Linked DNA regions of Drosophila melanogaster. The protein of the gene in region 4 interacts with the protein of the main gene of each other region in a pairwise test. Each region holds a gene or a part of one and is shown on either strand. Other genes may lie near its edges.

Evidence for each region.
Region 1: the proteins of Syx16 (region 4) and HPS4 interact in a two-hybrid assay, tested with the Drosophila melanogaster proteins (one large-scale study listed by BioGRID).
Region 2: the proteins of Syx16 (region 4) and CG3918 interact in a two-hybrid assay, tested with the Drosophila melanogaster proteins (one large-scale study listed by BioGRID).
Region 3: the proteins of Syx16 (region 4) and PHDP interact in a two-hybrid assay, tested with the Drosophila melanogaster proteins (one large-scale study listed by BioGRID).

The regions. Positions count from the first base shown.
Region 1 is NT_033778.4:17,682,674-17,692,648, forward strand, and holds HPS4 (Hermansky-Pudlak syndrome 4), read left to right. Parts: upstream 1-4,017; 5' UTR 4,018-4,182; coding exon 4,183-4,265; intron 4,266-4,584; coding exon 4,585-4,819; intron 4,820-4,882; coding exon 4,883-5,125; intron 5,126-5,180; coding exon 5,181-5,275; intron 5,276-5,333; coding exon 5,334-6,852; intron 6,853-6,909; coding exon 6,910-7,142; intron 7,143-7,200; coding exon 7,201-7,369; 3' UTR 7,370-8,149; downstream 8,150-9,975. Other genes in the region: CG42561 (uncharacterized protein), read left to right, coding at 2,211-2,231, 2,301-2,422, 2,482-2,725; CG42562 (uncharacterized protein), read left to right, coding at 3,170-3,193, 3,247-3,371, 3,434-3,665; swi2, read right to left, coding at 8,415-8,963, 9,031-9,210, 9,270-9,753, 9,906-9,975.
Region 2 is NC_004354.4:6,520,437-6,528,051, forward strand, and holds CG3918 (uncharacterized protein), read left to right. Parts: upstream 1-4,027; 5' UTR 4,028-4,253; coding exon 4,254-4,358; intron 4,359-4,429; coding exon 4,430-5,290; 3' UTR 5,291-5,906; downstream 5,907-7,615. Other genes in the region: CG3342 (uncharacterized protein), read right to left, coding at 5,932-7,240, 7,315-7,367.
Region 3 is NT_033778.4:23,880,950-23,888,011, forward strand, and holds PHDP (putative homeodomain protein), read right to left. Parts: upstream 3,492-7,062; 5' UTR 3,364-3,491; coding exon 3,087-3,363; intron 2,992-3,086; coding exon 2,798-2,991; intron 2,530-2,797; coding exon 2,338-2,529; 3' UTR 2,187-2,337; downstream 1-2,186. Other genes in the region: CG4882 (uncharacterized protein), read right to left, coding at 1-638, 772-1,111, 1,166-1,368; CG5597 (uncharacterized protein), read left to right, coding at 6,129-6,177, 6,925-7,062.
Region 4 is NC_004354.4:20,388,467-20,395,747, reverse strand, and holds Syx16 (syntaxin 16), read left to right. Parts: upstream 1-1,996; 5' UTR 1,997-2,105; coding exon 2,106-2,186; intron 2,187-2,260; coding exon 2,261-2,394; intron 2,395-2,456; coding exon 2,457-3,300; 3' UTR 3,301-3,414; downstream 3,415-7,281. Other genes in the region: HERC2 (HECT and RLD domain containing protein 2), read right to left, coding at 1-868; l(1)G0004 (lethal (1) G0004), read right to left, coding at 3,490-4,212; jb (jean-baptiste), read left to right, coding at 4,980-5,308, 5,365-5,493, 5,558-5,558.

The DNA.
Region 1 (9,975 bases), on a different chromosome or scaffold from region 4:
ATGGGCTGGAACTTGTGCATACGTTTGTATGTAAATGCAACTTCCATTTGCCGTTTACCGTTGCAGCTCAGTGGTAAATTGATTAGGCTGCTAATCGATTCAATTCTATTTCTTTTTGGACATCAGAACCATAAACCCGTTTTACTGTTCCACAGACTAGCGAGCAGCGACCAGCGGCCACCGCCTGTCTCGCGCTTGAAAAACAAGTCCGATATATTCACCTGTAGCTACGCGTCACTTCTAAGCTGGCTAACTCTTTTGCTTCAGCTTCTTTTGCCACTTATTATCCGCTTCTCTTTTCGACTCGACTCGATTCGACTCAACTTTACCACTTTGGCTGCTGTTTACAGCCAACATGCACGCACACACACTCACACTCAATGATTTATTTTCTTGTATTACTTGTTTCTTATGTTGCTTTATACATGTTGTTGGTTTTGTTGTTTCTGCTGCTGTTGCTGCATGCGCATAAATTAAGGGGGCGAGAGCGAGAGGGTAGAGCAACACACGTCTGTACACAATGAAAACCTGTTTGTTGCTTTTTATGCTTCCAGTGCGTCTCTTTTGGGTGTGTTGTTGTTGCCTGGAGGTGAGAGACGCTATGCGGGGGTTGTCTTTGGGGATAGAAAACACTATTTCGGGCACTCGAAGTTTGCACAAAATCCTTTTCGATCGAATCCTTTGCCAGCAGGCTGCATTCGATCAGCTTTTCAACTCACCAAAATTCATAAAAACATTTAAATAAACGATCAAATTAAGCGAAAAACACGGAACACGAAAAAAGTGTATACAACTTCACTGATCGACGGCCATTTTAAAAGTGACCGCAGTGGGCCTCCTAAAATATACCACACAAATATACCGAACGGAATGCTAGTATTGAAGACTACCAGCAGCTATGCAATACGGTGATTTTTAGTAACACTAAGGTATGGCAGCGCCGTAAGTTCCTCTGCAAAGAAAAATAAAAACTAATGAATAAAATGAAGCAGAAATAAAGTGCAATAATCTTCCGACAACGAGAGGTTACAAGTGCAATACACAATGGCTGCAAAGTAAGTGAAATTGATAAGGTTTTATAAACAGTGAAAAACTTTACATCGTCTATGTGCCTGCGTCTGCGAGTACGTGTGTGTGTGTGGGCGGCGCGCTGTGTATGTGGGGGTATTTTTGTGTTTGTTTTGAGCTGCAGCCTCCGCCCTCGCAGCCACCCACCACCCCCTCGCCCATTAAATTTGCATTCACATACACAGGAAGTGTGATGGAAAGGGGGAAGAAGAAGACCGAGATAAGTATCGATTCCGATCGGTGAAATTGATAAAATGTCAAAGTTCAAAAGATTGGCAAACCGGTAAAATGAAATTTGATTGGTCTTAAGTGTTTTTCTATAAAAATTTTTTATAGATATTATTATAATGGAAAAAACCTTTTAGTATAAACATTTAATAAATACAGAAAGTGCATATATAATGCAAAAGTTTGTCTCTATGTCAAATTTTTAATTATTGAAAAGTTTTTATTATTCAACTATAAAAACTGTGTAATCATACATATATTGTTAAAAATAAATTAATTGACAATTTTACAATTAAAATTTTTTTATTTTTGGGTAAACAATTCTATATTTTCTTATTATTTCTTATTTTCAGTTAAGTATTTTTCCATTTCAAATTATTTTTAGCAAATTCTTAGAAATCATTTTTTACAAGTCCCAATTGGACCGTGTCTTAAAGGTCAAAATCCTATTAGTCATATACCGGGGTAGACTTTTTAGAACTGTAAGAATCTCACGTAGAAAGAATTAAAATTTGACTTGGGAACTCCCCAAGAAAATTTCATAGGCCAGGTGTTTAATGTAGTCACAAGTTTATCATGACAGAATGATTTTGCATTGGGCATGACGTGTGGAGATTGATTTGAACCAAGTTAATTGTCACAGCGAAGGCTACCGAATGCTTTTGCTAGATGAGTCGATTTTATTGTGTCCCTTTTTCAATTGCCTTATAAGATGGGAATTTTGCAATTATTTGAATTAGTAGGTGTACTGAAGTGTTTCTCGCGAAGCAGATGTGTGATTTTTTTGTATCTTCATCGTAAAAATCAAAACTCGTTTGCTTGCTACTTAAATCAACCAGCCTTCGTTTTGGGCTCAAAACTGACCAAGCGTTCAGATATTCAGATAGTTTTTGTTCAACCACAGACAGGTCATCATGTCTCGCGATTTTTTCGCGGTGAGTAGTCTTTTCGCATATGCAAATCAAAGTTTAAACATACCATTTTCAAATCATAATAATATTTAGCTGTTGGCAATTTTCATCTTCACTGCGGTCAACGCGGCACCGCAAATTTCACCAACTATCGTTCCGCAAATCCGCACAAATGGCTTTCAACTTGAGCCCCTCAATCAAGAATACTTTCTCAGGTAGCTAATCAAAGTCCAGAAGAGAGCTTCCCTTTACTTAGTTAGTTCTGAATCTGTAGAATCGAACATCCGGGTGGCACTATTCGCCAGGAATCCGTGAGCCAGAATGAAGCCGGACATCTGCAGGTTAAAGGTGTGATTAACCAGCCCTTCGAGGATCAGGATGCCAATCTTATTGTCACCTATGAGGCTGGTCCGAATGGATATGTTGCCAAATACAGCTTCGGCAAGGGTCCTCCAACACCGCCTCCTGACACACCATTATTCCTCAGTCCCGGTGCTCTGAAAACTGCAGCGGGATAGGATTTTGACTGAATATTTAGAAAACATTAAAACCACAACTTGCCGTAATTTATATTAAACCAATTCTGTATTTATAAGTAACAATAAGTAAGTTTATAATCACTCACTAGTTTATAGAAATCAATAAACTAGCTAGACTTTCTTAACTATAACAAATTGTTATACTTATTATTGTTAATTGGCTAAGCCCTATTAAAGCAACTTATTAGGTGACTCGGTCAATGATTCACTGTGGCAAGTTTTATTGTTATGTTATGTAAATCCCTGTTGACAGTATTCAAAAATCACATCTTATAGCTATACTATAAGCGGAGAACGATTTTTGAATGTGTTTATTAATGATTCCAGTTTTGAACTTGGTTTAAGTTTAGCTGTTTATTTGTTAGCTGTTTGCTGTCAGCTATCTAAAAACATCAGTCGCTAACCAAAAGCCAAAAGATCATCATGGCTAACCTATTGTTAAGCTCAGTGAGTTTTTCTCATAAGTTTGCCTGCCAATCGTTGTATAATATTTGCTACAGGTGTTTTTGATTCTGTTTCTAAGTCTGGTGAATTCGGCGCCCACAACTTCAGTTACCAAATTCGTGCCGCCCATAAACGATAATGGAGTTGTGCTAGTGCCATCTGAGAATAATTATTCCCTGAGGTAAACAAAAAATGAAGTTAAGATAATGCTGTAAGCTCAACCAAATGGCTTCCATATTGTAGGATTGATCTCGACGGTTCAACGCGGGATGAGATTGTTGAACAGATTGCGCCAGATGTGCTTCAAGTTAAGGGTACTTATAGCCAGCGTTTTCCTGGTTCGAAATACCTGCTGGTCACCTACAAAGCTGGTCCCGATGGATATGTGGCCAAGTATAGCATATCTAGCCAATCGGATACTGTGAACCAGATTCAACAGTTGCCACCCAATGTGTTGAAAACAGCTGCTGGATAGAGTTGTTATGATAGTTTAAATAAACATTGTATTACGCGCAATAAAACAGACAAGGTCTCTGTTGTTAAACATATATAAAATCTTATTAATGATATTTGAAAATCATTTGCCTCCGAGAGCTTTTTATAAAATATAGCATTGGTAATCGAATTTGTTACACTCTAAAACTGGAATCGATACCTTCGTCATTGAAGTGGTCACCACATGGATGAATACATTATACGAGAGCATAGTTGCTCGTATACCCACCCGCTCAACCGCAATGATGGAAACACTCGGAAGCTTTCACCTCACTTCTCACCTGCTGGTTCACTTGGGCGTGAGCGGAATTCTGATCACGCTCTCGTATCACAGTTGGTCGTATCAGGCAGCTGGGCCACATCGAAATCAGACAGTTGGCATTGTACGGCGCTATTGGCTTGTTGACTTATCAGAATCGTCGGTCGTTAAATGTGATAAGGAGCCACGATGCAGCGCTAGACTTGGAAGCACCGAAATCCACTAGATTTCAGGAGCAATGTTTCGGGATTGGCGCAAAACCAAGCACAAGCGATGGCAGAAGGTGCAGCAGAAGCAGCAGACCTCAATCCTCACCGAAAGGTTGCTCATTTCATACTCAAACTGTGTTTCCAGTGCACAAATATCTACAATGAATTGCATTAAACAACGTCAAACAAATTGAGATTGCATAAATCCAATTTGTATTTGTGTAAAGTTTTTTTTGCATACCGGTTTTGCTACAGCACTTGTTGTATCAATTCTTGAACAAGTTTTAAGATTCAGCTCACATTTTACAAGGGAAAATAGTTGAACGTAATTTCTCCAAAGCTTTTCCTTAACATTAGAAACTAAGCTAAAATATATTTCCCCGTCTCAAAGTCTCAATAACAATAACCCTTGAACTTTATTAAATTTACAGGGAGACGATGATTGTGTTTGTCTACGACACAGAGTGTCTCACAGACGAGGCGGATGATCCCATATCGGCGGTGCTCTACTTCCATCCAAGCTGGGTGTCCGACTCCCAGAAGGTGGCTCTGTGTGGTCAGCTTATGGGCACGTCGTATTTCCTCAAGGATTGCTTCTTTAATCCCCGCATCCTGGCGCTGCAGAATGGAAAATTTGTGCTGAAGGAATTCGGTCGTTTTATTCTGGTAAATCGAATCACATAATTTCACTTTTCTTTTATTAATCCGATGGAGTATTCTGTTTTCCAGGCAATTGGCACTGATCGAAATATTGGAGATCAACTGTTGGAACATCGTGCTGATCTGCTGAGTTCCCTGCTCAAGTTTTTCCACCGTGACGTCCAGACATTGTATGCCCAGTATGCTGCACCGCCCGCCCTGAACCGCCGGAATCTCAGCGAGAAACTGTACCACATCTTTGAAACATATCTGCCGATGCTGCAGCGCAACGGAAATACATTTCAAAATGTGCCGAGGCTGCGAATGCCAAAGGTGAGTGGTTAAAGTAACAAACCGAATTACCTAGATAACCAAGATTCTCTTCCAGACGGCCAGTCATATATTCCTGGAGGCTATACAAACGTTGCAAAGTTGCCAGCAGACAAAGGGAATACTTGGCGGAGCGATTCTGTACCACAACAAGTCAGTTAATCCGGCTAAAGTCTGAACAAATTGTAAATTCAAATACCTTGTCTTTTAGGGTGGTTGCCTCGCAACTGAGCGATATGGTGACCAAGCATCTTGTACTCACCGATCCTCTGCACATCCGCACTGCGGCCGAGCAAGTGACCAACCATCCTGAGTTCCACATACCCAACGGCGTTCAGATGCTGGTGGTTTATTTGGAGCATATGCAGTACCGCCAGTTAGCTGGCGAGGCACAGCGCGCCCAGAACCTGCAGATGAACACAGCTCAGCTCACCCAAAATGGTATGCCGTTTCAGTATGCCAAGCGTAAGATAAAGCGGGACAAGTCGCTCATTTTTACCCATATACCCGAGGAGGAGCACGCCCCGGAGCAGCAGGGAGCAGTTGAACAGCTACCACCAGCCAGGCCCAAATCTATGCGACCCACCCACCTGCCGTTGCGTATAAAAAGCATGCAGAGCAAAGAGCTACCGGAGTCTGGCATTGCATCAATAAATTTCGACGAAACCGATTCCTATCCGCAGTTCATTGGACGAACCAGCGTTTGCAATACTCCAATGACCGAGAACAAGGTACTGCCGGTGGCCAATGTTATGTCCATTTGCGCAAATCCCGAAGATGAGGGCAAAGAGGAGGATATTCACAATTCCAATGGCAAGACACATTCGCGTCGAAATTCTCTAAAAGTGGATGTGGAGAAATTCTTTCAAAACTTCATTAGCAATCCAAACAAACAGCTCACACGACGCAAATCATCTGCAGACCTGCAGGATGCACTTCGCGCCATCTCCAAGAAACTGAATAATTTTACGCATGGCCTCAAAACCGATGTGAATCGAAATGGAAGCGGTAATGGTGATGTCTCTTCGGATTCGCCAGATTTCATAGAGGACGATGATAAGATTACTTCGCGGACCATCAGCGATCCCACCTATCCGGTATTCAACACTAACGGCCAGCAGATCTCGCGCAGTTTGTTTCAGCAATTTCTGGATCAGTATCGTAAATTGTGGGGTGTTGCTAGTGAGCAGGCGCACGAGGATGCCGAGCTAGCCGCTCTGGTAGCCGAGTTCCAGGAGTTCAACGCCGAGATCCAAAAGCTCGACGAGCACATGAGACAGCAAGCAGCGGAAGCATCGTCTGCCGATAGGAATCTCAACGTTTCCGCAGCCAAAACTCCGCTGGACAAGCGATCCATGACGCTGCCATTGAAATCAGCAGGAGAATCTACTTTCGGAGAGCGTGCGTCCGGACGCAGTGGAGCTGGTGGAGTACCACTAACACCCCTGATGGCCAAACTATCTGTTCTGGCTCTAAGCGAAACAACGCCCATCGAGATACAAACTCCGCTGACAACCAGTAAGGTTTTCCCACGGCGAAGTTCACTGAAGTGCGAGGATGCAGTGGATGCATTGGCTGCCTTGACCACAGCCCCTGCTCAACCTCCGGGTCCAATTCAACCAGATGGCTTGCAAAGAACTGAACTCTATATATGCGGACAGCAGAATATGACCTTATTATTGCTCATGGAGGAGGGTACTTGTCAACAACAGCAGGTTGTGCAGAAGATGGTAAGTGAATTTATATTTTTTTCGTCTATAAACATTGTTAATATATCTTCCAATTAGTTCGACATTTGTGTGGCCAAGTTCCCGCACATGGAATCTCAACTGAATCAAACCTTAAATGTAAATGTGGAGGGCGACAATCGCGACGGGAGCAACTATAGCTTCATGTGCGTGGACTCCAAGTGGGATGTTCTGCAGCGGAATGGCCCTTGGAATCCCCTAGAGCTTAATATCCTCGAGAGCATGCACTCGATACATTCCAGTGGTCATCATCTTACAGATTTGATCTTGAGGTATGTTCAACAATCATAAACCTTCTTTCTTTGGTTTTATTAATATTTATATTTATAGATCCAACGACTCCGTTTATTATGGCCATAAGAATGGAAGGACCGAGTTCTTCTACAAGGAACCTACCCATCAGATCAATGGCATACCACCGCCCTCGGATCCGATTGGCAATATACAATCCCGCGCCAAGTCGCGACTGGAACGTGATCATTCCTACATGCTGTTCTAGGCTGTGCAATGGATCGTATATTATAAACATATTTAAATACTCGCATGCTTAGCCAAAAACAGATAATGTAATCGGGGACACCAGATAGTCTGGGTCCCCGAAGAATAGCCAACTTAATGCCATCCACTGTTATTTCATTTGCGATCTCTGGCTGATTCCTTCGTGAGTCTTTTCTTTTGTATAGTGGTTAGATAATGATTCCATATCATATACAATGCAAACCAAGGGAACTCAATTTTAAACGATCTAAATTTTACTTCGACTTTTATACAACAAATTTATAAGAAACATTGCCGACCTTTTTTACCGCCATTCAATGGACTCACGAAGGAAACCAAAAGAATTTTAGATATGCCGCTTACAGCCAGCGAAATATTAAGCCTTGTTTGAATTTTCACTTGATTGATGTAAAGTACAAAAATGTTTTAAGCTTTGTTTACAATGTCCAGCACTGTTGTTTAATTTATAAGCTTGTATCCTATACAATTATTTTAATCATTTTGCATTTGCTTTGACCGAAAAGATGCGACATTTTGCACTGATTTCGAGAGCCAAAGAATTTAAATCAAGGTTTTTAATTGTAAATATACATTATACAAAATTAGATTCATTTAAATGGAATAATGTGTAACTAACCTAAAATTCACACAGATTCCGTTCTGTCCAGTTGCAAACATAAACCTATCTTAGCTGTTTCTCATTATCAAAGATTAAGCGCTTTGTGCCAATTTAAATGCAGGATAAATGCTTAAAATAAACCGTCAAATATGTAGGAACGTGAGAACGAATGTTTTTAACCATACAAAACAATTTGAACAGTGCAATAGTGTGGAAAACAACTATTTTGAGAGTTTTGCGTTGACCTAGCTTAAATATACATACATAAATACCTAAACAACATTATTTATATATATATATATAAATATTCATATATGATACAAAGACCGGTATTGTTTTTGTAGATTTTCAAGAATAAACCGAAAGCCATCGTCGGTGGTTGAGAAATACTTTCGAGTTGAACTTCCTTTAACATTAGATCTAGAGACTAGGGCATTTTCATCACAATCCAAGGAACTCGACCGTAATACTTGTAGTAGTAGTAATCGTAGGCAAGCTTGCCCAGGATAAGAAATATGAGGCTGGCCAGCACCCCGTTTAGCCAATCGATGGGATGGATCTGAGTGCCGCCCTCCACGCTTAAATTGCACATCTCCTGGCGACTGAGGGTCAGCACCTTGGCCAGCAGCTGGTCGTCATCCAGGCGGTAGGTGCAGCTCACATTCCAGGCATCACGCACGATGTCCTTGTACTTCGTCAACAGCTCACGCATTCTGCTGCCAAACTTGCAGGTGCAGTGCCAGGGATTTCGACTTAGCAATAGCAGATTGGCATTCTCGTTGTCATCCAGAGCGTTGTCCAGGGCGTAGACATGAAGCTTGCGCAGATTGTTGCCACGCAGATTGAGCAAGCGGAAGTTCTGCAGCCAGTAAGTGTCCTCCAAGTTGTCCACATTGGATATCTGATTGTTCTCCAGCTGCATATCCACAACGTGGCGGTAGTGGGGATTGTCCCGCAGCGGATTTATGTCACTGATCTGATGACAAATCAAGTAAGTTACTTTTCATTGAGCTTTAATATGCTCATATTAAATATGCTCTTACCATATTATCGTTTATAACTAAAGTGGTGGTGTTGTCCGGCAAAAAGTCAGGCAAGCGATGGAACTGCAAATGGGAACAGTTGACCGTATAGAGCGGTATGTGAGTCTTGGGTAAGATGTGATGCATTAGGCAAGTGCAGTTCCTTAGATCCTCATGCGATTGGCATTGTCTCTTCAGCTCCTGCAAATAAAATCAATCAGGTAATCACAGTGATGCAGGATTGATAAGCAGCTACCCACCAGTTTGTAGTGCATGACCATGAGCATCTGGCGTTCCTTATACTTTCGATCTGTGCATATTAGTTCGTCGCGATCCACCACCAGGCGTCCCTTTTCCGGCTGCAGCAGCAACCACTTGAAGTTGCGCGTACAGTTCCACGGATTGCCCGCCAGATAGAGTTGCTCGAAATTGCGGGGCAGCAACAGTGGTCCATCCAGTTGAATGAGCTGGTTCCATCGCAGATCTAAGACCTTGAGCGGATGCACACGTTTGAAGGTTCGCGATGAGATGTACGAGAGATTCGTCCACGAAATGTTGATAGTATGTAGCTCCAACATTTCGGGAAAGTCGAATTTGAATTCGGTGAAGCCACTGTACTCGATGGTCAGTGATCGAAGGCGAGGCAATTTCTGAAGATCCCTGAAATGATTTAGACCATCCTTTGGCCAGCCGCACAGAAGCATTTCCAGTGCGGGCTGGACTCTACTCAACTTTCCAGATTGGCTATAATGGGAATGAAAAACCATTATAGAGATTAGTAGAGCGTTAGAGTGCTTCAATTATCTGATGCGCCACCTATCGGATACGATGGGTACTTGTATTAAATAGATCTCTTAGTTATATGTTCACTCAAACAAAGATCTAACAATACTCACTTCAGCGCAGCCAGGTTATTCATTCCGCCATAGCACTTAAGTGTTCCATTCCGGTTCGATCTGGAGCAGT
Region 2 (7,615 bases), about 14 Mb from region 4:
TGTTTTCCCCCCGAGTCCTGCCACAGTGCATATGCTCCGTTGTCCTGGGAAAATTGTTGTGGCAAGGCAGTTGGGGAATGTTTACAGTTTTGCAGCCACTTGAAAAAGTTCTCCACTGCCACTCCCCCGACATTTCGGCGACCGCCCCCTTTTTCGCTCATGGCTTTTACTTGGCCAGGTTATTTATAGCTGTCGCTCGTTTGTTGTACGTATTTTTTAATAAGTTGTTTTTGCCTGTCGCTCGGTTTATATTTTGCATAAATTATGTCAGCCAGTCAACCAACCCACCCACTCAACCCACTCCAGATTTCTCCCACTTTCTACCGCTTTCTCGCAGCGACAACACTTTAAAGTTTTAATGGCTCTCTGCCTAGGTTTCAGTGTATGTGCATATTTGTTTGTTTGCCTGCTTGTGTTTTATTAATGAGCTGCGCCAAATTAAGTTTAATATGTGTGAGTTATCTGTGTGTTTGTTTGCCAGTTTGCATATTTAAATGTTGCACGTTGTCTGTTCATTTCGCTCCTTAAGCTCCACATCCTTCTATACACGCAAAACAATTGTGGTCGTATATATAAATCAAACATTGATATAAGGTGCAATGTGACCTTGTCTCTAATTGAGTACCGTGGTGTGACCATTCAGCATGTAGATATGTTTTTAGCTGATGTAATGATATATGTCACTGATATAGAGTGCATAGAGTGTCGCAAATTCCCAATGACATTTTCTGACAGTGTAGCATCTGTCATCTCTCTCCTTCTGCCACTGTCCATCTCTGTTTGACATTTATCATTTATAATTGTTTTGACTATGGCAAAGGGACTTCCGAGTCCGAGAATCTGTGACCGAAAACAGGCGGGAGGCGGTGGGTGGCTTGGGTGGTGGGTGGTTTAAAGGGATTCATGTAACGGTTTTCTTTGTGCATGCATATATTTTGACATTTTGACATGCATTAAATCAGTCAAGCGTAAGCCACTTTGAGCTCCTTCTTTGACTCTGCGGTGCACGCTCAGCTGCTCTAGTCCCGTCCCTTTCCTTTGAACTCGTTCCCTCTTGCTCTACCGCATAAGAGTCCTCTCAATCGCACACACACACACACACACACACACTCTATCCGTTCATCCATCTATCCATCTCCATCTTCATCTGGGTCTTTTCGGGGCGCCAAGTTTTGGTGGCAAGGCAAAAACCGCTGCCATGTATTTAAATGCGCACTTAAATTTTGAATGCAACTTGAGAGTTTTGAGTGCCACTGAATGACACGAATGCACACATATATAGCTATATATCCTATATACTATTAACGATGTCGAACTGCCGGAGGGTCATTTACTCAAGTAATGGCAACCGGCGGCAAGGATTACGCTCCACTTTATTCGACTTTGATCTTATGGAGCTCGATCTGGTTTAATTTGCCCCCCCCATCTTATCCACCTTGCAGTTTTGAGTTCGGTTTGCGGTGAATGCAAAAGGAAATTTGTGCCCACAGCGAAATATTTTGATTGTGTCATTAAGCAATAGTACATCTACATAACTTTGTGATGATTTATGCGTTTAAATGCGTTACCATGGCGTTTGGTCGCACTGCTGTCACGCATCTCTTGCTTTAAATTAGCAGACCTTGGCTTGGAATCGGTATCGGAAATCTTTGAATATATCATAAATAAAAGACTTAAATTTATGATTGGTTTGGTTGTGCCATTTCAAGGCCAGTCTAGCTGGATAGATAAAAATCCCAATCCGTGTAATTTACGTTCTGAGAATTGATCTCCTTGGCCAATTTCCTTGCTTTATCTGGCCTTTGCCTCCAAAGATTTACCATCTATATCTGCAGATCTTGTGCTCCTGGACACTCCCCATCCATCGCGACCAGAAATTTATGGCTCCTCCCGACAGACGCAGAGATTTGGCGCTGGGAGCAACAAACAGTTTACGGAAATTTATGTGGCCAGAAATTTGCACATGTTAATTGCTACAAAGCAGAGGGATGGCCGTCTGAATGGGTGGAATGGTTGAACTACAATTGCCACTGCTACTGCTACTACCACTAGCACGACTAGCACCAACGGTAGCCAAGGCCGATAGCCGCCGTTGACGCCGAAAATGCTGCGAGTCCAGAATTTATGGATAAATTATCGAATTTATTTATTTTCGCCACGTTGGTGTACGTTTCTCGGTTGTGTTTACTTTCAGATTTCTTTTAAATTTAGCTGCAACAATTTTTCATAATTTTGCCGCTGGCATAAATCAGCGATGGCGAAGACGGACGGACGTGGCAGAGTGGGGCACAACCATGTTTCTAGTCATTTGTTTTGGGCAACAGTTTTGCAGTCACCGCACGCAGGCGAAAGCGACACAGTTTTCCATCTGCCTGCCGCTATCCCTCCCCTTCCCCCCTTTCCTTTCAGCCCCTAGCTTTTATTATTTTTTCCTGCCAACAAAAGCAGGCAGGGACCCAGAAGAAAATGTGGCCACGGGGCGGGGCGGGGTGCGGCGTGTGCGGGTGATTTTAGGGGGTGGCGCTTGGGGTCCACTTGGAAAAAAAGAAATACAAAATGAAAACGGGTAATCTTAATGCTTTAAGTGCAGGAGTTGAAATATTAATACTTTTAGCTGATGCTTTCAATTTATAAAGATTAGACCAATCCTCTTTTATCTCTAACCAACTATGTCATACTAATGAAAAATGCAAAGCTAAAGCTTACTACTTGGCAGGCAATGGTCACACTGCTCGTTAAATACGGAAATGCAGCCACTAGATGCATTCACTCTCCAGCTTTTCTTTCAGTGTGCAGTCTGAGCGTTAGCGAGAATGAGCGACGATGTCTGGCACAATTACGCCAGCAACAACAACAAGTGCAACAACGTGCAGCATCCTCAGCAGTACAAAAACAACAATAAGGCATAACGAATAACGAATAACGCAAACCCCCGACGGTCGTCGTTCCCGTTGTCGGTTATTACCGTTACTCTTTGGCGTCTTTAATTAAGGCGTGGGCAGCGGGCGAGGCAAAATTTTTAATTTGTTTGTAATTAATACGCCGAGGTTTTGGTCGCCTAGGCGATGAATGCATTGCAATGCACATTGGTCACACTGGCCGACAATAAAACAGTCGCACCGTACGAAATTTGACACTCGAATGAATTAACTGCCGACACTTAAATGGCACAAAATTAACTATGCAATCATTTTCTTTTAATTAACCGTATTCGTTTTAAACGATTGCAGTGTGCATAGTTTTTAATTTTATACCACTTTCAATTTAATTTTTTTATAATGAACTCTCCACTCACCTGATGACTGCTTACGAATTGCCAACTGTTGCCAATGCTTATCCCCACTTTTAATAGTCGGGATCCGCAGCAAGGATAATCACAACAATCGTACGACCAGTTCAGTTAGTGCCACAATCCACGATTAACGGTATGCGATCTAAGCCGTTACAAATATCTAACGGCATTATGTAGCACACGGTATATTTTTGAGTGGAAACCGCTAACAATGTTGTTGTTGCCGCTTCTGCTGCAGCTGCTGCTGCCTATTTTGGCCATGGGGCAAAAACTGGCGGCGACGCCGCGTGCACGTGGTTTTGGCCTCTGTTTGGGCCATGGCTAAAACTGGGTCCTTCACGCAAGCGGGCGGATTGAACTGGCGCTGGCTTACGCACGGACTTTTTTTTTAACTTCGGCACTCAAAAGCACTTGCAAAAAACAAAAACAAACAGCGTAGTTAATAACACAGTCGGCGCAGCGAACTACGCCAATAGGCTGGATATTATGATAACTGTTAAACGTTTCGCGGATTCGTCTCTTCAAGTTATTTATTGTTTTATGGCGCCCTTTCATGCGCGGATCAACCGTAGAGCTTCAAATTTGGTAAACAACTAAGCCGTGCTGGCGTGCAGTGTGACCAGCTCTTGTTCGGGCAACGGTATTTCCGTGCCAGTGTCACCCCAGCTAGCATACCGCAGCCTATCGGTGCTTGTCACGGCTAAGCGGACCGGTGTGCTGCCGGCATGGTATGTTCGAAACGCGGCCGCATGGCCGCACTAAAAACGCGATTTACTTCAACTCGCGTTTCATTTTTACCCCATTGTTGTTGGTATCGTTGTTGTTGTTGTTGTGCACATATCAATTAATGGTGCGCGAGGCGAAATAATAATCAGTCAGTGGACAAGCCCGCCCAACGCCAGAGCCCCAGCCCCAGCCCGCCAAACGCCGCAAAGGTACGACCGGCAGCGGAGCGGCAACCATGAACTTCCCACTGGCGAGCGTCAACAAGGATACGTTGCGGGCTGCCTGCAAGAAATGCGGCTACGCCGGTCACCTGACCTACCAATGCCGCAATTTTCTCAAGGTAAGCGCACCAATCGCATAGACCGCATGTTTATGTTGCTTTTATCCGCCGCTAACCGCTATCCTGAACAGGTGGACCCCAACAAGGAGATCCTGCTGGATGTGGAGAGCACCAGCTCAGACTCGGAGCTGGACTACCTTACGCCGCTCACCGAACTGAGAGCCCAGGAGCTGAAGAGTGGCGCTGAGGTGCCGCCGCCAACGGAGCCAGCGGTGCTTCCCGCGGCAGGCAAACGGGACAGGAGCAAGGACAAGAGCCGCGACAGGCTCAAGGCGAAGAAGCGGGAAAGGGAGCGGGAGAGAGAGAAGGTGAAGGAGAAAGAGAAGGAGAAGGGTAGCCGGAGCAAGGACAAGAAGCGTAGCCACTCAAAGAGCAGCCACAAGCTGGCCGAGAAGAGCAAGGACAAGAAGTCGGTGCGGCACAAGAAGCATGGCAAGAAGAGGAGCCGGAAGCACAAAAAGACCACAAACACCAACAATAGCAGCAGCAACAGCAGCAGCGAGCTGGCCAAAACCAAAACAGGCAAGCGACCGAGCAGCGGCAGCACCAACAAGAAGTCAAAACGACGACGATCATCCTCCACCTCTAGCTCGGATTCGTCGTCGTCGTCGTCGTCCTCCTCCTCCTCCTCGTCATCAACCAGCAGCTCATCGTCGTCATCGAGCGATGATTCGAGTGATGACTCCTCCACATCGAGCGATTCGTCTGAATCGGATTCCAGCGACAACGAGGAGTCCAGCACCAGTGAATCGGATGAGTACGGACGCAAGAAGAAGCGGCAGGGCAAGTACAAGCGCAAGTCCACGGACACGGCCATGCTGCGACGCAAGAAGACCAAGGCGAAGCGGAAGCGACATCGTGCCGGCGGATCCGGTGCTCCGACCGCCGGCAGCAGCTACCTGAGCAGCCTCAGCGACAGCAGCACCTACTGAGAAAGAAAAGAAACAAACAAGGATTAACTGGATCAGCAAGAGAATCTAGATGTGGATCTGTATCTGGATCTGGATCAGCATCAGGATGGATAGACAGCTGCCTCCCAAAGCACTCGCTCCGCAAACTAGCTCGCTTTCCATTTTAGCCGTAAAAACGTAAAGGAGCAGGACCGCCAGCCCATCCTTTCCGCTCCTCACTTCCACAGAGAGACTGCCAGTTCCACTTCCAGTTCCAGGCCCCAAAACAACTTCTCCATGAACTCTTCCCACGGATTATGAGACGCGCAAACCGTAGACTTGTCCCTATACCTTAAATTTCAGCCCGATGTGTGCTGCAAATACAACAAATTAGTTTGTACAAGAGGAAGTCGGAGTTTTTCATAATTGAGAGAGAGCAAAGCATGGGTTGCTATTAATTATAATCTTCCGCAACATATTTTATATCTCACATTTAGTAATAATAGTTGTAATAGATTAGAAAATCGCTTTGTAAATGAGCCCAATAACATGGCAATCTAATGACTTAAAGATAGCTAATAGTGTCTGGCTTGTATTTGTGGATATGTTACGCGACCTAACAAATGATTTAATACACTTTTCGATAGTAATACCGAACATATATAATACGCCTACGTTAGGTGCTATAACCGACCCGAACTGGAGCTGGAGTCGCCTGATTTCTGAAAGATTCGCAGCGCTTCCTGCAGTGCGGAAATGTGTAGCTGCATTTTGGCTATTTGCCGGGAAGACGACTCGCAATTGCGGCAATGGGCAGGCGAAGCAGCTGTGCTTGAATCGGAAATATGCTGGCTGGCTAACAACAGCTGGGCATTCTGCGACTTGAGCTCGCCATTCTGGACTAGTAGCTCCTCGCAAAGGGCGCACGCCGAGCAGCGTAGATCCTCCAGCGCCTGTTCGCGTGCCTTGAGGTTGCGCATTAGCGCTCGATTCTCCCGCTTCAAGTTGAGCAGCTTCTGCTCCAGCTCCAGCATCTCGTCCTCGCTGTCGCGTTCCAGCAGCGGATCACTGGGCTTCTTGGGCGCAACACTCGACTGGCCGCCCATGCGATTCATGGCCTGCAGAATGGCGTCCATCTTGTGCTCCATTAACGCACCCGAGGCACGCTGTTCGTCTAGATATTTGTCCAGTGTCGTCACAGCCAACGGAGTATCGCTGCTCGTTGAAGCGTTGGCCACCGCCAGGGAACTGGCACTGAGTTTCCTGTGAGCATTTGACGAACCTATGGGTCGCGGCACTGGCGTTACTATCACATCCTCATTGGAAGGTGTCTCTGTTTCCCGTTCGCGTTCCTCATCGTCCGCCTTCTCCAGCGTTGGCAGCGTTACGCGGGAACGTGGTTGCGGCTGTGGCGGATTAGGCGTCGTCTTTGTGACCGTTGCTTTAGTTCGGATCTTAGATAAATCCTCACGCGAAGGCGATGCCGAGCTGGAGGATGAGATCTCGCTGAGATAGTGCTCCACTGGCAGTTTGTTTTTGACCATAAACGTTATGAATTCCTTCTCATCCGGTTCCTTGTCGAATCGCAGGCTCCAGAAGCGCTGCTCGTCATCGTAGAACTGCAGATAGGATTCGCGCAGTATCACCTTGCCGCCACGCGGTGTCAACTGCAGCGTGGTCAGCACCTGACTCTTGCTGCGGTAGACAATCAGCTTGCTGGCCTCCATCTCGCCCAGAATCGAGAGGGCCAGGCCGACGCGTCCAACGTTCTCGCTGCTCCGATAGGCATGCACCACCTTGGCAATGGCCGTGTTCCAGGCGGCAGGCGGTGAATCACCCGTCTCCTGGGTGCTACTCCTGGTCATGGCCGGTCTTTTGCCAGCCTGCAATTTTTTGGAGCTGCCTGGCTGATAGCGCAAGCTGGATGATTCGTTCGCCAGCGGACGATCGTCGTCCTCAAAGATCTGGCGCAAGTTGCGAGGACCCGATTCACTGGAGTTCATATATATTTAATATGTATATACCACTGTGCCAAGTGTCCCAATCCCGTCCAGAAACAGACTCACCTTCGCAACTTGTCGAAGAAGTCCTGATAGGACTGATCGTTGCCGATTTCCATGCCTAATTATGCAGTCGCATCGAAAATGTTTAAAAACATTAACTATTGTTCAGTTTGTTTTGACCGAAACAGAAAGTGTGACCAAGCGCCAAAACGAAGAAAACTTGTTTCCACCGGTGAATTGCTTTCAGGAAAATTATAAAATATTATAACTAAATATTAAGCAAAAAGGCCATAAAATAAACATATTTATACATATATATGTTTAATATAGTCAACTGTAATAGAATATATATTCTATATTCAAT
Region 3 (7,062 bases), on a different chromosome or scaffold from region 4:
TCTGCTGCCTTGGGCTTCTTCTTTTTGCCGAACCAGCGCTTGGGATAGTAGACCTTCTTCTTGTAGATCTGGATGTCGATGTCGTCCCGGTTCTCGAAGAACCACAGGTTCTGCCGCTTCGCCTCCAGTTCGCTGAGGGTCTTCTGGATGGTGGCCTTACGCTCCTCCACGCTCTGCGAATCCAGTTGTCGCTGCACCGCTGCCTCAAACTTCTTGGCCCACTCCTGATACGACTCGCCGTAGTCGGCCAGCAGTTTGGGCTCAAACTTCTGCACATTGGCTTTGACGCTGTTCTCCAGTAGCGATTGAATGGCATTCGATTTGCTACTCTTCTCAACGGCTTCCTGCAGGGACTTCAGCAGCTCTTCGGATCCCTCCAGCTTGAGGCTTTCAACTATGCTCTGTGCGGCTAAAAGAGTCTCCTTGTGCAGGGCAGCTGAGTTCGAGGCCAGAAAGCTGGAGGCCTCGGGCACTTGTCCGGTTAGGACATAGCCAAGTAGGGCAACGTTCTGCTTCAGCTCTTTCAAGGACCCTTCGCCGGAGCCCAATCGAACCATGGCGCGACCCAGTTTCTTCTCTTCGGTATTTTCGCTGGCGTCGTCGGGGTAATTGCGAATGAACTTCACGCGAACTTTTTCCTAGCAAATTCAGGTATGATTAGTAAACTTGGTAAAATGCCAAAATGAACAAAATCTTAAATAGCTATTTATGAGTGAATAAAGTTTCCAGCCGCTTAGCTGATAATTCAGCCACTATCGAAAATCATCTTACCACTTCAACATTTTTGGCAGGAGGTTGAACTTGAGAGGACTCGAAGGGCTTGAACTCCTTGGCGAAGGACCAGAAGGACTGTAGGGCCAGGGACTCCAGCAACTCGTTGTTGCATAAGTTTCTGTCCACGAGAATAGTGGCCAGCTGGGCAGATTCCACCGCGTGGCCATTGTGCAGCAGGAAGTCCAACAGGAAGCAGCCAGAGAACTGGTCCACAAAGAGCCCGTACTGGATGGGATTACGGAGCACCGATATCGTCTCCTGCGGATTGGTGGAGTCCAGCAATTGCTTGACCAAGACACTGGGAATCAGCGGCACCAAACTGGCCTCCTTCTGTTTCCTGCAAGAGTTATCTTATGAGTAGGGACACTACTTCCAATATGGCCGCACCCACCTGAGCTTGAGCAGCCGGTCCACCAGGTCCATGGGACGGTTATCCGGATTGACGAACACATCCAAATCCACACTCGTTACGGCATGACTGCTGCCTGCGGCGAATTTAGCCGGTCCCTCGTGCGCCACCTTGTTGAATTCCGCCGAGAAGTAGGACACCAGTCTCCTGGGTGGCAGTGCGCAGGAAATCCTCGATCGCAGCATTGTCAATTGTCTTTTTTAATTCATAAAGTGTTATAACCAGCCGATTAACAAATAACATGCAGCTGGCCAAAAGAGCAACAAAATCCCTAGCGCGTTCGCCAGTTAATACCGCAGATAGCGGTATTTTCGTATTCGAAAGCATTGAGGGTATTTCGACTTATAATATGTTGCTTTTTCCGGGAACGATGGAATTGAAAATGTCCTTGGAATATTTGAATAAAATAATTAATTTGAATTCTTTTATTCTAAATGAAAAAACACATAAAATAATCAAATCAAATTGCAACAAAACTATTTAAAAAACGGAAGAGTACGTTTTATATATAGTTAAAAGGCTAAATGATATTTGTATATTTATGTATATATTTAATATCTGTATATACGTTTCACTAATGAAGTGTAGAAAAATGTAAAATGAACAACGATTTCACAGTTTATTAAAATCATTCGAGGGTGTTGAAAGGCGGGCACTACTTATAAATTGCAATATTAAGTTATACATCTGGGCACATATGATTTCAATAAACTGCAATTCAATCTTGATCTTGTTAATTAGATCTGAAAGGTATTCACCGCCAATCCCTGCGGTGGGCACTCCACAACAATTGCTATATTGAGCGCACCGAATCGCCACCATCAACTGATTACACGCCCTAATGCCGATCCAATCCACTTTTTCCACCCGATAATGGGATGACAATTTACCCCTGAAGGGCGTGAGGTTTGGTACTTGTAGATGGTGACCCTTCAACCCCCATTCAAGTCCTTGTTTTTCTTCCCACAGGCTTAGCCGGCTGAGCCCTCAAAAGGGTGCTAAGCCAGTTGTCCCGGATGATATGAAAACAAGCAAAGTGTTACACAGATCTTATTTATTTAACGCAATTCGCTCCAAATAGTCAGTAAAAATAATATCAAAATAACTGCATTCATCAAAATGTATACTAATATTTACATAGATATTAGTGGATTCTATATTTGATCGTATAAGCATTTCATTTGACGGCCATGGCCATTCTGGGGTCCCTTGAGAGATGGGCCCAGGTATTTCGATCCTGCTACAGGATTCTTCCGGCCATCCAATTTGCTCGACTTGTCCTTCATTATGTAAATGGCATGCCTCTCCTGCTTGCGAAACTTGGCTCTTCTGTTCTGGAACCAGACCTAAAACACACAATGGTTTTTTTTTTTTTTAATTTCGATTACTAAGTCGTTTTGTATCCTTCAACAGGATATGACTAAATTCGTTTCGATTGTAAGCTGGCTTCGAGAAACCTATAATATTTGAACCTATCAACAGCAGATCGAGTTCTTTTCAATAGTTATATTATATTATGTAAGTATTATTTGTTATATGTTAATTATTGAAATATGTGTATCCTAAACTACCCACTCACTTAACCAGCAATTCAATCTCATTAGTTTTCCTCACCTGAACTCGAGCTTCCGTCAAGTGCAGCTTGGATGCGATCTCTTCCCTGGTGTAGATATCTGGGTAGTGGGTTTCCAGGAAGATCTTCTCCAGCTCGTTCAGCTGGTTGGACGTGAAAGTGGTGCGAATGCGCCTCTGTTTTGATTTGTCGGTCAGGCTCAAGCCGTCGTCTCCATAGGACTTCAAATGGAAGTCTATGGCGAGGTGAGAGTTGGTTCAAGATTACAATCCATAATCGATCCATCCAGGTGCACTGGCTGCAGGTGGAACTGATGGCCACTGTACTTACCCGTGTTGTAGGAGCCAATGTTATGGGTGGCCGGGTAAAACTCGGAGACAGTGGTGATTTTGGAGAACAATAAGCTCGACTCCTGGTTGAGGGAACCCCGGATTGCGGACTCGTTGGCGCAGAGCTTGTAACTGGAGTCAATCATGAGGTTGTAGTGATTTATGTGATTGGCCACGGAGAGTCCTCCTCCATTGGCGCCGCTGTTGTAGAACTCCGAGTTCGCGGTGTACAAACAATCCTTGTCGAAGTTCGCCTTGTTGAGCAGTGAAAATTCCATCGCATCTGCAGGTAAATTCACACACGGCACTCGATTGAAATTTTACAGCCCGCTAATGAGTCATTCGGCCATAAAACACATAGTTATAGTAGCTCCGCGGCCGCACACACTTTTAACTGCCCTTGAATAAATAAGCTTCGATTACGATTGTATCAACTACAGGACATCCACGTTGGACGAACAAGGATGCTGCACTTGTCTCGGGAGAGCGGGACGGAAAATTTCATTCGTTTCCGCGTTTGGAGGCGGTCCTAACGAGCTCCACTCGACATAGGGGTGGAAATCTGACTTTCCGGCGCGTGTCGTGCACTGCGCGAAAATTCACCGCATTTCCCCAATTGACTTGTCACAGCATGTCTAAAGAATTGGTTTTGGTTTTAATTTCATTGATTGCATCGCTGTCTGTTGGCTCTGATCTAATCTTCACTCAGAAATCTTCTTTTCAATGAATATTTCTTCAAAATCTGAATATTTTCCAAGCTCCATCTTTAAGCGAACTTTTCTTTGAGTGCACCAATTTTCACAGGCCTCAAAAAGCAACACTCAGAAGATTAAATTGGCTTATCGGGCAACCATGACGCTGGGATGTCCTGTCTGAGCGATTAAAGGAAATGCTTCTCTGGGATAATATAAAAAGTAAGAAAAATGAAAATCCTCTTTACGTTGCAATAACTCTTAAGGAACAGCCAAAGTAACATAAATTATAAAATATATTTAAACTTCATATATGAAATGGAAAGGGTATCGGACAGTCCGTCATCACGAGTACAGCACTTCGCCAACTTGATAAAACAAATGGTGTTGTACCGCACACAATGGATAAGAGACACCTTACTATCTTTTCTTGTTTATAACATTGGGCTGATTGAAACATTGTTTAAAGTCACTGGCAGGATACAACCCCTGTTTTCGGAAACAATTATTTGCTCTGCGGATTATTTCGATTAGTTAATTCCTGCTAATCAGAGTCCTGCCTAATTTTTATTTACTCTGCGCTGAAGTCCTTTTTTTTTTGGACACCCTAATGCTGGATTGCTAATAGGATAGGCTGGTTGTTCCATGTGCTGAAGCCATTTAGTTAAATTTTCAAAGAAAAACAGTTCCAAATTCAATGTATCTATCTTCGGAAACAATTTCATTGGGATCAGTTTAGTCAAACATACGAGGTAAAAGTTTAGAATGTGCCTCTTTTTCCAGTTGAAAAATGGTCTTAGTTGCCTTTGTGGATTTTACACATTTGCATGGTAGAGTGAGCCTTTTCTTTTCTTAATCAACGAATTGGAACGACTAAGTCTCTAGGAAAACAAAGCCACCTAATAGATGCACATCATGCTCAAACTAACACTCGTGCAAAAAGAAACTCTACTTTGTAGTAATCATTACTTAAATCGCAAGTCTATGTAAATCGGAGAATTGTTATGGCAATCATAATAATACAACATTACGACATTCCGAAAGTTTTGGAATAAGTTACTGTGTTACATTTTAGGTTAAAATATATCCAATATATGTGTAAAATTATAACCTTTCCAATTGTAATTGTATCAAACGCAAAGATATGAACTCATTTTACATTTAATAAATAGTATAGTAACCAGATGTTGGAGGTGATCGACCTGAACGAAACCCACCTGCATTGTTTGCTTAACCCGATCTCAAACCCACCCCGAAAATCCTGTAAAAACAGCAACATATTATTTAGTTATAGAGCATCTAAATGGGAAGCTAGTTTAAGTAGGTTTCAACCTAGTTGTGGGTGCAAATGAGCCTGGAACTACATGCATCGAACAAGTATCAGGTTCTATTGAGTCATTCTGAAAACAACTAACGTTAGTTTGGAAAACATAAAGTAAAGAAAAAGGGTTTATCATGCATAGGTGTGTGTTGCACTTACACACTAACTTGGTATAGTGAAGGCTTTTTCTTTTGCTAATCACCGAGTTGGAACGACTAACTAAGTCTTTACAAAAACTCAAGCATATGGATATACTTAAACCTATGAGTAACTGAACGGCTAATACCCTAAGATTTATTCAATTGTAAACAAATTCGAGAAATTCGACTTAAAAATGCCTTCTATCGGAATTTCAACAGAATTACAGGAATGTTAATGATCCCTATTGCCATGGAGACAGCATATTATTAACGCCAATCGTTACAACAGCCCTTAACTTCGGTCGAGAAGAAGAAAAGGTCCTTAAGGACTACGCTCGACACCCCCTGTCCTTTAACGGTCTTGCATGTTACCCTCGACTATCCCTAGTTGTAGGAGTGCGCCTCAGCTGGGCGGCCAACTGGTTTTCAAATAGTCAACGGCAGCTAGGAGCAGCGGAGAGTATCGAAGCGGAAAGGTTGTGTCCAACCCCCACACATGCAGGGCGACTTGGTTGGTGGTGGTGCCTGGCCAGCTGCGGAGCGATCTCCCCACATGTCCATGCAAAGATCGTGCTTGTGCTCCGAGAGTCGCGCACAAGTCAAGTGGCACGGGCTATGCGAGGAGGAGGAGGGTTAGGGTAGGAGGATCGTGTGCCGGAGAGGAAGTGCCGGCATTATCTCGGCTAAATTCGAATTCGTTTGGTTACGCTGCGTGGTCTTGGCCAAGAGCTCTCGTTCCTCATTTCTCGGTTTTCAGTTTTCGGTTCTCTGGCGGCCAAGAGCATTTAGTTGCCTTAGTTGTACCATGCCGAGCGGACCGCTGAGTTAGGATCGGTTGAGAAGTCTGGCATACGAGTGGAAGTGGAAGTGTAGATAGGATAGTGACCGTTATGGATACCCTGCTGATCGCCATTCTGGCCATCGGACTGCTCCACAGAGGTACAGCCAGATCCTGTGGCGATCCAGCCAGCAACCGATATGGGAAACGCGATTTTTAAATTAAGAAATGAAATCATTCGGAAGGCGCATATAAACGAATTTCGAATGCGCAAACCTTGAGAAAAATAATGACAAATCGGATATCTATAAATACGAACGTATATCCACATTCGGTTCTGAGTTAACATGTGCTAAAACGGAATATAAACAATATATAAACAATATATAAACAATATGTGCAGATTCGATTATCCTTTAATTTGTGGATTTGAACGGGCTGAAGGATTTTACGTGCAATTATTCGTGTTCGAAACTATATGTTTTTCAATGTGGAAAAAGCGCCAGTGGTTTTGAAGTCGGAGCAATAGATGCTAAGTGGAAAGCAAAAGATTCCAGCGAAAGGAACCTAATAAAATTGAACAGAGTTTTCAGAATTTTGGCACACATGATGACAAACTGCCGAATGAAAAATGTTCAATTTTCTAGCTTTTGTTTGTTATTAGTGTCTATTTTTAAAACGAAACAGGCATCCGCTCATCGCGTTTTCGCTTCTCGTAAATATACGCTTTCGCCAAATTATATAGATTTTTGTGTACAATGTGTTTTGGATTTGCCTGTGCTGCATATGTACATATATTCCAAATAATACCGCGCGTGTTCTGTAATTTCGAGACCTCGTCGTGCTAAAAGCTTTTCGTTTCGTTTCTGAATTCTGCGTTCTAATCAGTAATATTCGCTCTCCCCCAGATGCGCTATGCTATCCCACGAGGGATGAGTCCGAGGACAAGATTATAGTCCTTCAGAACGAGGAGATGGAGCCCACGATCCTGGACTGCGACTACGAGGTGGAGGAGAGCCCGAAGTTCATCACCGTCAAATGGTACA
Region 4 (7,281 bases):
GTGACTCCACTGCAGCATTGGCGGTTGTGGCGGCAATGGTGGTGTTGGCGGTGGTGACACTGGCCACCGCCTGTGCGCTTGTCGTGGACTTGCGTTCCCGTTCCCTCTCCCTTTTCAGGGCCACGAAGTAGCGCTCGTAGATGAAGAGTTGCTGGCGAAGATGCTGGGCAGAGAGACAGTTGCCGGCTGCGCGTAGAGCTAGCTCCTGCAGCTCCGAGATCATAGAACGCTGGCAATCCAAACGCGCCTGCTGCGAAGGTGGCTGGCTCCAGAGCCAGCCGCTCAGAACCATGTCGGTGGCCTGGCTAAGATGGGCTGCTTGCTGGGCGGCAGCTTGGGTGGTAAGCTTTTTGATGGCCGTGTCCGAGTCCAGAGGCCGACAGCCGTCGCAATTGCAGGCGGAGAGAGGACCGCAGTACTCCGGCTGGCAGCAGGAGCACTTGAGCTGCTGAGCGCCGCAGTAGTGCTTGCCATCGTCGCCCAGGTAGGATAGTTGTCCGCGGGCATTTAGGAGCGGCGCGGTAGGCGACGAGACCAGCTCGCAGTCCTGGATCAGATGGTTCCACAGTACGGCGCCGTCGGCGGCGTTGCGCAGGGAGGCGATGAGATCGGCGCGCAGCCACTTGGCGTCCAGAAAGGGCAGCGGGCGCAGGTAGAGATCGGGCGAATGGCTGGGCGGTGCTGCTGATCCGGAACCTGATCCCGATCCAGATCCTGCTGCGGAGCCTGCTCCTGCCGCTGCTCCACTGGCACCTCCACCCCCTCCTACTCCAACTCCAGCGGAGACTGGTGCTGCAGAAGCGGTCTGGCTGGACCCAGCACCCTGGCCACTGGATCCGGCTCCTCCGCTCGCCTGGCGGTTGAACATGTTTGTGTTTTCGTGTTGCCTTCCCTAGTGCTCCACCGCCGAAGTCAGGCTAGAAACGAGCTCGACCACAACCACAACAACGACAATGGCATGGCACAGTTACCCCTTCAAGGGGGGTGTGGTGGTGGGTTGGAGCGCGGGTGGGGGCGGGGGCGAAGGCGGGTCAATGTCGTCACTGGCACACACACTAAGCACACGCACACGCGCGCAAGCACACACACAACTGCAATCGGGCGTCCAGGATCAGGATAATTCGTTGTTATCCTTGTCCGCACTGCTCATTTCGTTGTTCCGCTCGGAGTTAGTTATGACATCCTGACTTTTCCACCCGCACTTGAACTCTCCGTTTTCCGCGCTTGCTGCTTTCGGGTCACAATTGGAAGTGCCAGTTACCAGTACAATGCAATTTGAAATCAAGGAATTATTTTAAAATGAAATAAAATTGTTTGATGGCAATCGATATCAGGGGGAGGTGCAAACTGACTGAGCTATCAAGTAATCGATATCAGGGGGTCGAGCCATCGATATGTTTTGCCTTTCGATAGCTCTTCAGTGTTCTTAAGTCACAGGCTTGTGTCACGGATTAAAACCCAGTACAGTGGAAGCTGGCTATTAGAAAACGTTAAGCCAAACTCATAATGAGTTCCCTAAAATTCTGTAAATTTGTAATTTTTAAACATTAGCCTAAAATGTACTTGATTCTAAAATCATTTACAATATCATTCGGTTATATTACTCTTTCGTAACGCAAAAAAAGAGAACGCACATAACAAATTATTGAATACTTTTATTGTACTATTACGGTCGTTTTATTGCTAAAAGTATTGCATTTCAATTTACGTGACGGTGTGTACAGAATTAACTTTATAAATTGTTGAAACTCAACAAAGCAATACTATATTCTGTAATTTCCGAATATTTCTATTGGAGCTATCCAATCCGTATATTGAAAAAATCACTTTCGCAAATAGGATGTTTAGGAGTATACATATAAAGTACAGATTCTACAGATAATAAGAAAATAATATTTAAAATAAGTATAATTCTCGGACATGTAACGGTGCGTTCAGGCCAGGGTGACCAGTTCGTCGTGGCGACTATCGGTATTCTGGGCGAGCAAGTCAGCGGGCACACTGCGCTGCTGTGTCAAAACGAAACTGGAAAAAATCTGATTGAGTTTTCAGCGGACTTGGATCAATCCTTCCAATCCCCAAGAAATCGGGAGCAGACGGCCAGGATGACGTCGCGCAACCTGACGGAGGTGTTCGTCATCATGCGCAACAATGCGTCCAAGAACCGGAATCACTACGACGATCGGGTGAGTGCGTCTCCGTCTGGGGTCTTCACTGTTATCATCAACTAACATATGTTTTGCGTTTCTCCGTCTTCCAGAGGGGCAGCGATGCGGAGCGCCTTCTAAAGCACTCGGTGCGCGAGGCGGAGGAGGGACTGGAGCTGCAGGACGACTACGGCACGCCGCCCGCCTGGCTGGACAAGTTCGAGGAGGCGCAGTACACCATGTCTAAGTGGGTAAACAAACAGTAGTCCATGCGCAGGGTTCAACTTCACTCCCATCACTCGTTTGCAGGATCAAGCCTAAGCTGGATGAACTGGGCTCCCTGCACGCACGCCACCTCCTGCGACCCGCCTTCGATGATCAGCGGGACGACGAGTGCGACATCGAGGTGCTCAGCCAAATCGTCTCCAAGCTGATCACCTCCACGCACCGGCACATCCAGTGCGTGCGCAGCAGCATCGGCGTGGGCAGCAAGATGGAGCAGTGCCTGACGGTCAACGCGGTACACTGCGCCCTGCTCCAGCTGCAGGAGCTGACGGTGAAGTTCCGTGCCAGCCAGAATGCCTACCTGCTTCAGCTGAACTCCCGCGAGGAGCGCTCGCAGAAGTACTTCGACGACGGCGGCGGCGCTGGCGCTGGAGACGTCTTCACAAACGTGGAGCTGGGCGAGCAGAGCGCCGAGAACTTCGTCGACTCCTTCGACAACTTTCTGCAGCCGCCGGCGGAGGGCAAGTCCGGCAACGGCTATCTGTTCGAGGACGACGAGCAGGCCATCGACGATCACTTCCAAAGGCCGCCGGCCAGCCGGATGACCCAACAGCAGCTGCTGCTCTTCGAGGAGGAGAACACGCGGGTGGCGCAGCACCGCGAGCAGGAGGTGACCAAGATAGTCAAGTCCATCTACGACCTGAACGACATCTTCAAGGACCTGGGCCACATGGTCCAGGAGCAGGGCACTGTGCTCGACCGCATCGACTACAACGTGGAGCAGACGCAGACGCGCGTCTCGGAGGGATTGCGCCAGCTGCACAAGGCGGAAATGTATCAGCGCAAGAACCGCAAGATGTGCGTCATTCTCGTCCTGGCGGCGGTCACATTCTTCATGCTGCTGCTGCTCATCCTGACCAAGCTCTAGTTGCCCACGCGCCTCCAGTGGGCCGACCTCATTCCCGTCATTCGCTGTGTGTGTTTGTGTATATTGTAAATGTTTGAATACATGTTATTATATTTATTATTTATTGCTAATGCTAAAAAAAAAACCGCAACTACTCCCTCTCAAGTCGAACTCCACTCCAGTCCAGTCCACTCCAGTCCGCTCTCCCAATCACATGCGCTCCGAGAGGCGCGAGGCGACTGCCCGCAGGTTGCCATACACCTTGCTGGGCGGCGAGCCGAGGATTAGGTTGCAGACGGCCCGGCGCGCAAGCTGAATGTTCTGGTAGCTGCCCAGGATGTGGATCTTGCTATCGGCTAGCACGATGCGGGTCTTGGTCACGTTCTCGATGGTGAATTTGGTGCGGCCGCCCTTGCCGGCGAGGCGGCCGATGGCGCGAGACTGGTGGTCGCCGCGCAGCGTCTTCACGTCCTTGATTTCGAACGACTCGACGAACAGGTCCTCCAGACGCAGCAGGGCCAGGGCGTCGTCCACCTCGAAGCCGCAGAGAAAGGCGCGCACGAAGTCGGCGCCGCGCTGCAGGTTGGCTATGTCCGGCGTCTCGGGGCCCACACGCAGCTCCACCTGGCGCGCCTTCATGTTGAAGCGGATCTGCAGCTTCATGTGCTCCACCACGGGCGTAAAGATCTTCATCCAGTGCTCCTTGAGCGAGGAGTACCTGTGTGGCGGCACGGATACCTTGCGCAGCTCGCTTCTGGCCCGCTTTGCCTTGGGCGGCGCCGATGCTCGCGAAGATCCCAGCACCTGGCCCTCAATGCCGGTCGCCTCGTCCACCTGCATCTCCACGTCCTGCTGCCCGCCTCCGCTGGCTCCGCGCTTCGTCGCTCTCTTCGCCGGCTCGAATGCGTCTGCTCTGATGTTCTCTGCCTCCATGGTGCAATCTGTTGTGCTTTTACTGCGTTGTTTCCAATAATTTCTCAATCCAGCTGCTTTGTCTGCTCCACGTGCTCAGTGTGACCGCGCTCGAATCTGAGATTTCAAATACATCTGTAGCTGAATACCACACCACTGAATTTCGACGAAAATACCAATGCGTATGTACAATTCTACACTGGCTAAAAAGTATGTAGAATGTAGAATTCCGAAATATAATACGCCTGAATTCTTGATAAGAAACATCATTGGATTTGAAGGCTGATTGAAGTGCGAATTCATATTTGATCACTCATTGAATTATTGCTGTTTCAAAAGTAATAATTCAAGTACAGCCTAAAGCTATAAGGTGACGTCACTGTCATATAGAACAACACAATGTAAATTCTCAAAAGATGGCAAAGGGTACCGAAAGGAATAATGGTTTCTGTTAGGCCCATATATATGTATATATATACTGTTATATATATACTGTTAATATATAATAACAGTATATATGTACATATATACTTAATCTTAATTTTGGAATCATATTCAGATAACTGTTAATCAGCTACAGACGAGTGGGATAAATATAATTTAAATATATCATAATAATTTTATAATATATATAATATAATTAAATATAAATCATTTTTGCATAATTATTAAATGCAACCCTTTCATTTTCAATCAATCAAAAGGTAGCCTATTTTTGACATTTGGTTTGCTTTGGTCCCTATTGAATTCAGTTCACATCTAGAACCCGTACCGGAGAAACCATTTCCATGTCACAACGGAACTTCAAGATGCCAAATCCGAACAACGAATCCCATTCCTATTTCCTCCGGAATATTCCGGAAGAATTGCAGCCTCAGTTTACGCGTGGATTCAATCAGTGGATGGGCAATCAGTCTACGATGACTAAGGGTTTGCCATCCAATACAGTGAATAAGTCTGCCCAGACGGCATCTGTCAATGATGGCAACTTGCAAGCTAGCGTGATCGCAATGCTGGCAGGAATGGACTCGATCTTGGACATGGAGCAGCCTAACAGAAGTCCTTCGCGCGAAGAGCACGAGCGCCTAAATGAGCTGTTGTTCAGCAGCAATTTGCTGTGAGTTGAAGTAATTCGTGGTGAGAGTCCTGACATAAAGTTCATAGTTTCATTAGCATGCTGGACGTAAAGAAGCGAACGTTTCCCGTGGAGGACCCAACTGGGTATTTAACTTCGGTTTCAGAGCAAAATCCAGATGGGAATCCGTTGGCTAAGCGACTAAAGCTAGAGCGTCCTCAGGGCTGGTAAACAAGTCTCACGAGGAATTACCTTCATTCTACACATATTCAATCATACATATCTTTTCAGACACTAATGACCAATGTCTCTTCCTCAGAGTCTCTCAACCATACAGGACATTAACGAACCATTAAATAAATCACTATAAAAATAAATCACAAAATAGTTCAGAAGAGCCGTTTTATTTTACCAGTTAAGGTCGGTAATTGAAAGAGTTTCGCAAAAGAGGCACGCAAAAAGGTATACATACATAGCTCATACACCTTTAGCTTAGTAATGGGTATCCGATAGTCGATGGTCGACGTGGAGTATGTGCATATGTATATGTGACTTTTTAATATATAAATATACATATATGTATGTGTTGTGTGAATATAAATTCGTTTATAATTGGGGAACGGCATTAGAATGCGAAAAGGTAATATTATTAAGTGAATTTAATGTCAAAAAGGAAACCATGAGTGTCCTGCGTGGCATAGCAGCTAGCTTTTAGGCCTGTGCTCGCCAATCGTTATCGAAAGATGGCAATCGAGTAAGCGGGTAAATTGAAGTTTAGCCGCAGGCGGGTATTAGGTTTTCAGATTAATGGTGGTCAGCGTAGGCGGCGCTCCTCTCGCAGCCATTAAAAGTTTCTGGGGATGCAATGGGACTTACTTTTGCATCAACCGCAGCGATAAGAAGGCCATTGCAATGCCTCCTATTGGCCTGCACTTGAAGCAAAGTTAAGTAAGCCAAAGTGGAGTTAAGTAAAGTTAAGAGCGAGTAATGCGGCCACCGCAGGCAGGCGATAATCTCAAGCTTGCAATTGCACTGGCAATTTGTTTGTTATCTTCTCCGTTTCCGGTTCCCCACGCCCTTTCTCGTATTTCTTCTCTTCCACCTCCTGACCCTTTTCCGGCCTCTTGGGAAACTTTTCCATGAGCATGAGCTATTTGAATAAGTACACTGGACAAAACTTGCTTAAGAACTACGGAGTATTGAAGATGCAATTTATATATATATAAAACATACATACTTAGCATCTGCTATCTATTCGGATATTGCAGACTCCATTGAGATCCAGTTTCTATTATCTAAATATTTTTTTTTTTTTTGTTTTGGGGTTATTCAACACACTGATGTGGTTTGAATATTTCAAAACTTGGTACGTTGAAGTGTTTATTTTCTTTGTAAAAATCTTGATTTTGATACAAACTTACAAATGGTTATAGTAAGAAGTGGATTAACCAGAAACTTTTCGAGTCAGTTAACGATGCACGTTTTAAAAAATAATTGTGTATAGCATCAGAATTTACCTACTCCTTTCATTTCGATCGGTGTCCAAATTGTTGATACACTTATCTGGGCATTTAGGCATTTGAAACTGGGACTGCATATATCCGCCAACCAGCTGAGCTCAGTTCCTTCTTTTTTTAACAGTGCAAGGAATTCGTGGGCGATATGAGTGCAAATTGCGTTGGCTTTCATTTGGCATGCACTCATTTGGGTTATCTGCTCGCCCACTTAATAAGCTTAATGACTCTCGAAGCCGTTGGCTGCACATGATTTTGCCAGCAAAATCGCCTAAAAGCGCTCGCCGCTCGAGTTGCGCCACGCCCACTTCAGCCGCACCGCCCACCTCGGAGATCCTTGGTAGCCTTGGTAGCTCCGAAAACGACGACGAGCGCGAGATGAAAACGCGAATACACGCGCAAGGGCCTCAAAGGTTTTGAACGAATTGCACCAAAGTTATAATTAGTTGAGCTTAGATTCGGGCCAGGACCTCAAAGGCGAGCATGTATCCTGCGTCAGCC